3 linked regions of the Ovis aries genome follow. The protein of the gene in region 1 interacts with the protein of each later gene in a biochemical or structural test. Links are inferred from orthologs where the notes say so. Each region holds a gene or a part of one and is shown in the gene's direction. Other genes may lie near its edges.

The links.
Region 2: the proteins of UBE2A (region 1) and RNF40 form a complex in vitro, tested with the Homo sapiens proteins (3 studies listed by BioGRID). The link is inferred for Ovis aries from reciprocal best matches to the Homo sapiens genes UBE2A and RNF40.
Region 3: the proteins of UBE2A (region 1) and RAD18 form a complex in vitro, tested with the Homo sapiens proteins (12 studies listed by BioGRID, with this or other methods). The link is inferred for Ovis aries from reciprocal best matches to the Homo sapiens genes UBE2A and RAD18.

The regions. Positions count from the first base shown.
Region 1 is NC_056080.1:114,920,178-114,923,924, reverse strand, and holds the start of UBE2A (ubiquitin-conjugating enzyme E2 A), read left to right. Parts: upstream 1-1,237; 5' UTR 1,238-1,377; coding exon 1,378-1,421; intron 1,422-1,542; coding exon 1,543-1,623; intron 1,624-1,986; coding exon 1,987-2,012; intron 2,013-3,747. UniProt on the Homo sapiens protein: E2 ubiquitin-conjugating enzyme that accepts ubiquitin from the ubiquitin-activating enzyme E1 and transfers it to a E3 ubiquitin-protein ligase. In vitro catalyzes 'Lys-11', as well as 'Lys-48'-linked polyubiquitination.
Region 2 is NC_056077.1:27,399,469-27,403,215, forward strand, and holds the start of RNF40 (E3 ubiquitin-protein ligase BRE1B), read left to right. Parts: upstream 1-1,050; 5' UTR 1,051-1,102; intron 1,103-1,210; 5' UTR 1,211-1,282; coding exon 1,283-1,414; intron 1,415-1,824; coding exon 1,825-1,992; intron 1,993-2,410; coding exon 2,411-2,552; intron 2,553-3,203; coding exon 3,204-3,410; intron 3,411-3,747. Other genes in the region: CFAP119 (cilia- and flagella-associated protein 119), read right to left, coding at 322-525.
Region 3 is NC_056072.1:17,558,134-17,561,880, forward strand, and holds the start of RAD18 (E3 ubiquitin-protein ligase RAD18), read left to right. Parts: upstream 1-1,165; 5' UTR 1,166-1,252; coding exon 1,253-1,303; intron 1,304-3,747. UniProt on the Homo sapiens protein: E3 ubiquitin-protein ligase involved in postreplication repair of UV-damaged DNA. Postreplication repair functions in gap-filling of a daughter strand on replication of damaged DNA.

The DNA.
Region 1 (3,747 bases):
CTCCTTCCTCTCTCTTGTCCCCACGTTCTGTTGGCAAGTCCTGTCTGTTTTTATTGTCATTGCCTGGTTCACTACCTCTCACCTGGAATACTTCAAGAGTCTTCTAATTGCTGTCCTGGGACCCGTCTCCAGTGAGTACAGCTCTGATCATGTTGCCTTTCTGCTCAACCAACTTCCAAGGAAGCCATCAGCTTGGCATTCAAAACTCTCCCTGAGTGAACCTAGACCTACTTTTCTCATATTTCCAAAAAATTCTTAAATGAGTATTTTGCCTACCTTCTATGTTATTTGGAGTTGACCTTTTTAAAAAACATTCTTTAAAACTGTTATTGCTTTTGCAGGTCCACATACTAACTGTGACTCTTCCCTGCAACCTACAGCTTTTTCACGTGCATCTTACCGTTCCTTTTACTTCAGACTCACTGCTCTTCCAATTCTCTGCAATCGGATATTCTCATACCCTTGGACTCTTCTGAACATATAGTAGCCACTTGGCTTGTTGAACTGTCAAGGGGAAATGTGGTTCCAGAGCCAAATTGTGAGTGCCCAAAGCTAAAGCCTCATTCTGCTTGCCTCCAGCTCTCATTCCCTCCCCCAGGACACACATCACCATTTCATTCTGCTTTGGGGGTGATCATCGGCCTAAATGTTGGGGCCCGCACATTCATCCCATAGAGAAGGGACCCTCGACCTCACCATCGAGGTCGATTTACTCTTTGGATGTTCAGTGATTTTGACCAGTCACACAGCTTCCTCCCCAGTTTCCCGTGTCCGTAGGAGGTGTACCCCCTAGATTTCTGGCTTTAGGAGAACTGGTTTCGCCTTCATCCACTCTGTCCTCATTGAGATTGAGACTTCATCCTTCTCCCCCTCAGCCACTGTGCGCACTTTAATAAGTGATCTGATCTCAAAAAAAAAAAAAAAAAAGAAGAAGAAGAAAAAGGAAAAGTAGAAAAAAAGCTTCCCACGGTTCGTCTTAGAATTGGCAAGTGAAGGTGGACCGATTCCACCACCCGATCCTATTGAGTTCCCGGCAATTACATGAGGCCCGCAGCTTGCTTCTCACCCTCGCTCCCCCCGTCCCTCAGGGGTTTAATGACCTAAGCAACTTTCCTCCCCCCCCCCACCCCTGTCCCGTCTTGGTACGGTCTGTCCGGCGTTTGGCGTTCCACCCCCGTCGTTTCCTTCCAGGTTGGTTCAGCCCCGGTCTACTCTGGGGTGGTGCTAAGCCGGCGCCAGATCGACCCTCGACTTAGGAGAGGCAGTGCGGTTCCTCTAGGCGGTTCTCCGTTGGTTCCTCCGGCTTCCTCAGCCTCCTCACCACCCGCGGGGACCCGAGAGCTCGGTGTATGCCCCACCCCTGACCCCGCTAGAGACATGTCCACCCCGGCTCGGCGGCGTCTCATGAGGGACTTCAAGAGGTAACCCGCCCGGGACTCTAGGGGCCGGGGGCTGCCGCCGGGGTACAGGGCGGGGCCGGCAGCGGGCCGGGCGGGCGGCGGGTTCAGGATAGCGGGAGGTTCCTGTGGTGTTTCCCTGTAGGTTACAGGAGGATCCTCCTGCCGGAGTCAGCGGGGCTCCGTCCGAGAACAACATCATGGTTTGGAACGCGGTCATTTTTGGGTGAGTCTGCGTTCCGGATGGTGGTGAGGGCCGGGGGACCCGTGTGCCCTCTGGGACCCACCCGGTGCGGAGGCGGGGACTGAGAGAGAAGGTTTGGGGCTCGTTGGGCCTAGGCGCCTCCCCGGAGCCTGTGCCTCGATTAGCTCGGTTCGCGCTGCCAGGGGAACCGTTTGGGGTTCGGAGGGGGGCGGGGCGGGGAGCGGTGGCGCTTCGGCCTGCCTGGGGTTTCTGAGCCCCAAAGCTCTATTGGTCGTGGCTTTGCAACCCGGGAAGCGGTGGTTTACCAGAGGTGGGGCGAACAGATGAACCGGGGAGAGAGGAGCCCCTGATGTGGGAACTGACTTGTTTCTCTCTGTGTTGTAGGCCTGAAGGGACCCCGTTTGAGGATGGTAAGAGAGTTTCTTTACCCACCTTTTGGGACCCTGATCTTCTGGGGAAAGTGTTTCCCAGTCAGCCTGGAAGTGCCTCCTACTTAATAACCCGCTTCTCCCTAGCCTTTGCCTGCTAAAGACTTGAGAGGAGTCCAGTCTGTGGCAGGTTGTTCTGGCTATTGTCCGCTTGACTAGAACTGCTGCTTAAAAAAATCTGAGTAAGGCAGTCACTTTTTAAAAGGAGCATAATACCACTGATGTTAAGGGTTTGTGAGGTTTGGGTTGTGATCTTGCTAAATTCAGGACCACCACCCCCTCCATCAGGATCAACCCAACCACTTGCTGATCAACTCGGAGACCCCAGGGACTGTCTGGTTCAGAATTCTGTCACAAGGGTGGGAACTGTGTTCAGCAGGTGCCTCATGTGTGGTGTTGGATGTTGAATGGATGCAGGAATCCCTTGCACACAACTGTCTGGTTTCTATAATCTGACATTGAGTGCTTTTCAGCCTCACTGCTTTAAAGTGGTCTTTAATGGCACCTTCAATAGCCAGTTCCTTGTTTCTTATTTTTAAATGAGTTTTCAGCGTGTGCTTTTATCAAGACTTTATGATCAGTAATCTCAAGGCAGTTTCACAATTGAGGGGAGCCTTAAAGTACTCTCTTACCAGTGTCCAACCTACTTCAAGATACTACACGTACTTACAGGTACATGATTTTTAGGTTTAGGTTTGACTTTTAAAAACACACTAAGTTGCTTTTTAAGGACTTTTTAAAGCTTCTTGTTTTGATATAATTATAGATTTGTGTGGAATTGTAATAAATAATAATACAGAGAGACCTTGTGTACCCTTCACCTGTTCCCCCCTCTCCCCTGGTAACATCTGGAATGACTGTGCACAACCAGGAAATTGACATAGATATAGTTTTATGTGCACTCAAATGTGTGTGTATGTGTGTGTATAGTTAATTGCTTTTGAAAGCTTAATGCATTTAAAAAGATGATTAAAAGTATTTGAACTACTGATTGACATCTTTAATATTTGAGGTATTTTTAAACAGAAAAGGGTCTTTCTGTTATTTATTTTCTTCTCAATGCCTTATATTCCTTTGGTCATATAGCCTTTGAGAGAAATCTGCACACATATGCACACACATATGCATACACCTCCATTTGAAGGTGGCAACAAAAGCATTTCTACAAACTACTCAGTACAAGCAAAGTTGCCAAGTCAGATTGCCTTTGGATGTTACCAACCACAGCATGTTGTGAGGTAAATGAATACAAACCAATTCTAGGATTCGTCTCAAACACTCAGATTTCCCTAGCAGATTGTAAACAGTAATCTAGGTGGTTTGTTTCTTCTCTGCCTTCACCTCCTGGGTAAATATCACTGTTCTTCAGTGCTTTGATAAAAAGAAATGACAGCAAGGGAGTATGATCCTGAAGGCATACTACTTTGGTGTGTGAGGTAAATCATTTGAACTGATTCTGATCCATAGCAGAAGCTAGCTAGGCTTAGTTTTCCTCCATTAGATCGGTTGCTGGTTCTTCATACTTAAGCTTTATGTGCAGATTAGCTGTGTATTTGCTTTAGCTCCAGCAAAGCAAATTATTTTCATTGGCTTCTTTTTTCCTCCTGATTTTTATTCGGACTGCTTTATGCTGGGCGCAACTTTATTAATAGTACATCGCTTTGCTAGGGGTTGGCAACTTAAATATTTCAAGGGTGCTTCTCTCGCTTTAAGTGGT
Region 2 (3,747 bases), on another chromosome or scaffold:
AGAAAGCGAATTGGGAAAGGCAGGGCTGTGTTGTTTCTGGCCCCTAGTTCTTGGCAAGTTGCGAATCTCTTATCGGCCTAAGAACGTGCTAAGTTGCCTTCTCATCTTGAGGACTAGATAGGAGCAATGCTGGCGGGCTGGGCTTCAGCGATCCCTAAGTACTATTCATGAGCATATTAACAAGCGGGGTCACACACCTCTACCTCCTCACCAAAGCAGCCCGGGGAAACTTCTTAAACTTTAGTAAACATAACGTCGGGTGGCGCCCAGACGGGGAACCCTCTTTAAACATCCATGATCAGATCACTGTCCCGTCCTCACCGGGAACAAGTTGGCTGCAGGATCGATATCGACATCCACCGAAGCCACGGTCCCGGATTCGGTCCGCACACCTGTTCCCATACGCGTGGCCGATTCATCCAATGAGCTGAAGTCTTTTTCGGGTTCTCGCCGCAGTTCGTAGTGCTGTACAAGCTCCGACTGCATTTTTAGTCCCTGGAGTTGGCTGGACTTCCGGCAGATCATCTTGTCGCTCTTTTGTGCTGGGGGTCACCACAGAATCTGTCTTGTCTCGGTTCTGGGACAGCCGGTTCTCAGGCAGCCACTGCCAAGGCCTGGCCCTCTATCGACGCTCCAGCCAATTTGCGATGCAGAGATGCCCGGGGCAGCCAATCCGCTGGCGGCGTCTCCCTGGTCTCAACGGTGACCGTTGCTAAGGGAATTCCTGGAGCCGGGGAAAAGTGTATGGCTCTCTCCAATCAGTGAGAAGAGAGTGCGCGAGCGTAATAAGATGCAAGCCCCGCCCTCATAGCCTCCTTTCAAAGTTGCTAATCTGGGGCAGGCGTTGTCTTTAGGACTGGAAAGTAAACCTGTGTTATCGGTTACCATGGGAACTGTTTACTGGCCAATCCCGGAGAGAAGAGGGTTCGGAAGGAAACCCAAACAGACCCGAGAGGCGGGACAAAACGAGACCAATAGAAACAGGAAATTAAGACTATTTCGCCACATCCGGGACTGCCCCTGGCGCCTGCGCTCTGTGCTGGGGAGGCTAGTGACGTCCGGTGGAGTCCAAGATGGCGCCCGTGGGCTGATCCTGCTGCCGGTGAGGGGCTTAGGGCCGGCGGGGCGGGGACCCTCTGGTAGGTGAGGGGGAGTTGCGTGATTGCGGAGCTCTGGCCGCCTCCACATCTTTGCGCTCTGTCTTCTGCAGGTGATAGGAGTGCAGCCTCCACCTGCCTGACGTCCCTCGGGAGACCCTGCTCCTCTCTTTGCTGCCGCGGCCATGTCTGGACCCGGCAACAAACGCGCCGCTGGGGATGGGGGTTCGGGGCCCCCGGAGAAGAAGTTGAGCCGCGAGGAGAAGACCACCACCACGCTCATAGAGCCCATTCGCCTGGGAGGCATCTCTTCCACGGTTCGTGGGTTCCTGCCTCAAAACTTGCTAGAACTCTCATCTGTTTTCCCTCCACGTCGTCCTGAACTTAACTCCCAATTCCCCAAGCTTAGCAAGATCCACTTTACAGAACACTCTGCTGAAGGAAACCGAGGACACAACGTCAGCCTTCCCTTTACAGATAAGAAAACGGGTTCCCACAGGGCGTGTGGTTTGTCAAAAACTTCAGTAGGAAGAGGCAGAAGCAGAACATGATCCGCCTCACAATCGAGACGCTTTCTCTGTGGGTGACTGAGCTTCGTTAAATCCTAATGGCAGTTCATCTGGGGAAGCTCTCCACTCCTGTCCGTTGCATTTGCTTTTCTTGTCTTTGTGATTGGGTCCTTGGGCCCTGCTTGACCCTCTTCTTGGCCCCTTTATTTCCTTGGTAGGAGGAGATGGACCTCAAGGTTCTGCAGTTCAAGAACAAGAAACTTGCAGAGCGGCTGGAACAGAGACAGGCATGTGAAGACGAACTCCGAGAACGAATTGAGAAGCTGGAGAAGCGGCAGGCCACAGATGACGCCACCCTCCTCATTGTCAATCGCTACTGGGCCCAGGTGGATGCCGCTCTTCTTTCGAAGACCTGGCCTTGATCCAGCTGCCAATCCTCAGACCCCTCTACTAGGAATGGAGAAGGCAATGGCGACCCACTCCAGTACTCTTGCCTGGAAAATCCCATGGGTGGAGGAGCCTGATAGGCTGCAGTCCATGGGGTCGCTAAGAGTCCACACGACTGAGCGACTTCACTTTTACTCTTCACTTTCATGTATTGGAGAAGGACATGGCAACCCACTCCACTGTTCTTGCCTGGAGAATCTCAGGGAGGGAGGAGCCTGGTGGGCTCCCGTCTATGGGGTCGCACAGAGTCGGATACGACTGAAGCGACTTAGCAGCAGCAGCAGCTACTAGGAAAGGACTATCAGGCTGGGAAGCACCTGAGGGATTCATAACATTTTTGGTGCTTTCTCCCTTCAGCTGGATGAAACTGTGGAAGCCCTTCTCCGACACCATGAGAGCCAGGGGGAGCTGTCTTCAGGGACAGAGGCACCTGGGACCCAGGAGGGGCCGACACGTGATGAGACCCCTCTCACAGAGCCAGGGACTTCGGAACTGAGGGGTAGGGCCAGAGCCCTAGGATCTGGGAAGCTTAATTAAGGTCTGGGAAAGGTCCTGGAGAGGAGGGGACTTTGATATTATTAGGCTGCTGAATTCCCTGCCTGCTAACACACACAATTGATTTCATATCTAGGCCACAAAGGGCAGTGGGTAAGAACACAGGCTTTGAAATTTGAGTGATATGGTTAAGAGTGCAATTCACATCTTGACACCTATAGTTCGAAAAAGTATTAAATGTTGACTGTGTATTTGGCATTGTTGTAGATTTGGAGGAGACAAAAATAACCAAAAAGAGATAACTTACTGCCCCAACCATTAGCGAAGGAAGTGATTAAAACCACAAGAAAGAAGTGGGGGGGGGGGGGGGGGGGGGAAGCTGAAAGGGAGTTAGTGTGTGTGCACTTTAGTTTAGATAGGGGAAGGCAGAGAAGGCTTCCCCGAGGAAGTGATGTGGTAGCTCTCTGGCCTTAGGGACATTGCCTCCCTGAACTTCCGTTATTTCACTTTTGAGATGGGGATCACACAGTCCTGCAGGTGTTGGTTGTGTTGCTTTAGTAAGCTGTAGAGTGCTGAAGGGTTCAGTCTGGAACTTGGTACAGAGCAGTGGTGACTGTTGCTGTTGTCCTCACGAGGGTCTGTCCGTCCCTCCCAGAACCCCTGCCAATGCAGTTGCGGCCCCCTCTCAGTGAGCCAGCCTTGGCTTTTGTGGTAGCCCTTGGTGCAAGCAGTAGTGAGGAGGTGGAGCTGCAGCTGCAGGGCCGCATGGAGTTCTCCAAGGCAGCTGTGTCCCGTGTTGTGGAGGCCTCTGACCGCCTGCAGCGCCGGGTGGAAGAACTCTGTCAGCGAGTATACAGCAGAGGTTAGTTCTTTATGCCCCCACCCCCAAGGTGCCCGTGGTATCCCCTCCTCAGTGCTCCTAGCCCAGAGGCAGCCACAGTTCCCCAAGGGATAAATCAGCCACGTTCTCAGGAGAAGGGTTAATCTGTCAGTGGGGGATCTGGCTGTGATTTCTGGAGTTGAGATCTAGAGAGATGGGGGAAGGAGTTCTTGATACTGGGGGAGGGGGTCCTCCTCCCTTAGGGCTGGAGACTTCTTGGGAGCACTTTTCACAAATCTTAGTGGCAGTTACTGATCCATCTAAGGCATAGCATCAAGGGCCCAGCCTTAGTTCTGTCAGTCCTGCCCGGGTGTCCTGG
Region 3 (3,747 bases), on another chromosome or scaffold:
TGCATGGACCACATGTGGTGGCAGTGGCAAGCCGCAGGGGTCTTCCTGAGCAATATAACCGTGCTGACTTGCTGCTCATGAGATCTCATGTGTGAGGCACACATCAGGCAGCCTATCCATGAGTGCTGAGTTGAGCAGACAGTCTGGGTGATGTGCTGGTCAGTGCTTCATGTTTGGATAACAAGCACTCATACTCACTTGGTGAGAGTATAAATGTATCGGTTCAGCCTTTTCGGAAAGTCATATGGTGCTCGCTATTGTAGTGTCAAAAGAGCACACAAGTTGACTCAGTAGTTCCATTTACAGGAAATTATCCCCAGATATTCTGGCTCAGGTATGCTAAGATTTATATAGATAATGTGTTCATTACAACTGTTTGTAATAATGAAAAACTGGCAACAACTTAAATGGTTGTCAGATGGGCATAGGTAAATAAATTGTGGTACATCTGCATTACGGACTACATAGCTAGCAAAAGGAATGAGGTATATCTATATGTATTAACATGGAGAAATTTCAGGATGTCTGTAGGTAAACAAACAAAAATTCAAGTTGACAGAGGTGTGCATTTAATATAATAACATTTGTGGCAAAAAAACCCACTGTATCTGTGTTTCTGCACAGGAAATATTTGGAAGGCTATGCTCCAAAGGTAAGATGTTAAATTAGGTTAACCATCCTATGTGAGAAAAGAACTCCTATTTTCAGTCCAGAGGCTCTATTTGTAGCCAGGTCAAAGACATTGTGTAACTCAAAGAAACTCTATTCACTTTTTCTGAGCCGAAGTTTTCTCCTGCGTAAACTAATAATGATAATACTCACCTCACAATGTTGTGATGGAGTGAGAAGGGACAGATCTTTATGGCAATCAGAGAGGGCGACCGAAATGAGGAGGCATGAGCCTAGACTTGGAAAGGTTTGACAAGGCCTGGATGCGGTTTGATTCTAGGCTGTCTTTTTCTAAAATTCAACAGGCATTCATTTAGTAAGCGTGTACTACAAAACCCGCCTGCGGGCTTTTTAACCGCATAGGTGCGCACAGAGCCGTTGCGGGAGCCTGGCGCTTGAGCAATAAGAGCAATAAGGGCGGGCTGCGCTCCGCCCACGTACTGCAACTCCCAGCATGCTCTGCAAACGCGTCGGGCGCGTCGCGGACTGATGACGTAGCCCGGTAGCGCGGGGAATTTCGAGTGGCTGAGGAGCGCAGGAGACCAGCGGGTAGCGGACCCCCTCAGTTTCTTTAGAGGAGACCATGGACTCCCTGGTCGAGCCCCGGTGGCCTCCGGCCCTGGCAGTCATGAAGGTGAGTGCCTTGGGGAGGTCGGGGCCGTCTGGGCGACCGCGGGAGGCTAGCCCCACCTTGAGGGGAAAGAACCGGGCGCCAGCGGCCAGCTGGGCCAGGGTACTCTGCCCTGCCCCGCTGCTTGCCATCGCGTGACGCTGGGCCTGTTTCCTCCTCCGGCAAGTGCCGGGAACAGGCCTCGGTCACTGATGGTGAGCCGAGATTGGCCGTCGTGTGGAACGGGATACTCTGCGGTTCAGTCACAACAACAACAATGATCCTGAGAGAAACATTACTCCAAACAGTGGAAACAACAGTGCTCTAATCTAACAACAGAGCTCTAATCTTTTCTTAGAGCTCATGGCGTGTCAAGCATTATGTAAACTCTCCCAGTACTTTAGTGGAGAATCTCCCACAGTGACACCGGACAGAGTTTGGGTGGATCTTGCATCAAGAAACATTTATTTAATCACCTAGCAAAGCAGGTGTCTCCTTTACATTTTCTTTCATTTCTTTCTTTCTTTCTTTTTTTTTTTTTTTTACTTTATTTTACTTTACAATACTGTATTGGTTTTGCCATACATTGACATGAATCAGCCACGGGTGTACATGAGTTCCCAATCCTGAACCCCCCTCCCCCCTCCCACCCCATATCATCTCTCTGGGTCATCCCCGTGCACCAGCCCCAAGCATCCTGTATCCTGTATCGAACATAGACTGGCGATTCGTTTCTTACCTGATAGTATACATGTTTCAGTGCCATTCTCCCAAATCATCCCACCCTCTCCCTCTCCCACAGAGTCTAAAAGTCCGTTCTATACATCTGTGTCTCTTTTGCTGTCTCATTTCTTTTAATTACGCTCAAGAAGCCTAGTGCTAATTTGCGTTAAGTCCTCCCTAACTGTGTTCTAACTCTTAACTCTTGTGCATCACTTTCTCTCTCAAACAAATCTGGATTCTCACTTAGACCAGCCTTTCATTTTATTGAAGTCTTTTACTATTAAATAACATTCATTTTTGCTCCGTGGACAATAGTAGTGAGTCCTGGATTCGTACAGTGTTTGATCGAGAGCGAATACACTGTACTGTACTAGCTAAGAATCAGTTGCCTGGTTTTTCTCCTTGTTCTGTGATTATTTCAGTGTGACTGAGCAGGATCACATTCTCCTGTTGCTCCATTTTGTTAACTAGGAATTATGGTATCTGCCCCACTCACTCATAAGATGAGTTTGAGGATAAAGTGAAGGGACTTAGAAGAGGTTAATATCTGCTGTCCTCAGTATCATCTGAAGTGCCTGGTGACTTGAGATCTCCCCATAGTGAAAAGCTGACATCGTGGAAGGATTTTGGAAAGCTGTGGTTCTGCGTTTGTGGTGGCCTTGGCACCAATGTACAGTGGAGAAGAGCGTATATTGAGTTCCAGTGCTTCTGTGTTAAATTAGTTTCTGCCTCCTATTTAACTGTGTGGCCTTGATTCAGTTACTTAACTTCGCTGAGCCTGAATCTCTTCATCTATAAATTGGAGACAGAAATAGTTCATATAGTTGGTGAAATGAGTTGATGTATGTGGATGGGGATCCTGTTTGGTTTATTCGTGGTGCCTAACACAATGCCTGGCACATTGTGGACGCTCAAAAATTGTTTGCTTATCGACTGAAGGTTTTCTTGTTGTTTAGTCGCTAATTCGTATCTGACTCTTTTGTGACCCCATGAGCTACAGCCAGTCAGGCTCCTCTGTCCATGGGATTTCCCAGGCAAGAATATTGGAGTGGGTTGTTATTTCCTTCTCCAGGGGATTGTCCCAACCCAGGGATCGAGCCTGCGTCTCCTACATTGGCAGGTGAATTCTTTTACCACTGAGCCATCTGGAAAGACCATCTAGAAGGTAGTAAGCATTAAATTAATATATCTTTATTATTATTATCAACACATAATGTGTTATTTCTCCCCCTGCTTTTTATTTGTTGTCATAAAGATTATAAATTGAGTAAGGGAAGTGAAAGCTCTATAACTTGTAAAGCTGCCTGCTTTGTAGATTTAAGCATGTTTTATGTATTCCCACAAAACTTCCACAGTTTCCTTTAGTGGCAGGTTCCATGTCTCTGGGTTGGCTGTCGCACAGCAGCCTGAGTAGGATTCAGTACCAGAGAGTGTTCAGTGGTGTAACTGACTGAGCCCATATTAGAATCATGGAATCTGAAGTTTGGAAAGCCAGCCCTCCCCCACCCCCCACTATTCTAATTCCTTTTACAGTGTGTCCATCCATTTCTCTCCTGGTGTTTGCTTGAACTTCTCCAGGGACAAAGAATTAGCTGTTTCCAGAAGTAGCTCTATTTGGAGTTCTTTCTTATAATGAATAGAAATCAGACCCCAAATCCATAATTCCTAACTGAGGATCCATGGAAAAACTTTGGTGTTTGGAATTACTGGTATATTGTTTTCTGTATGTATTTTTTTTAAAAGAA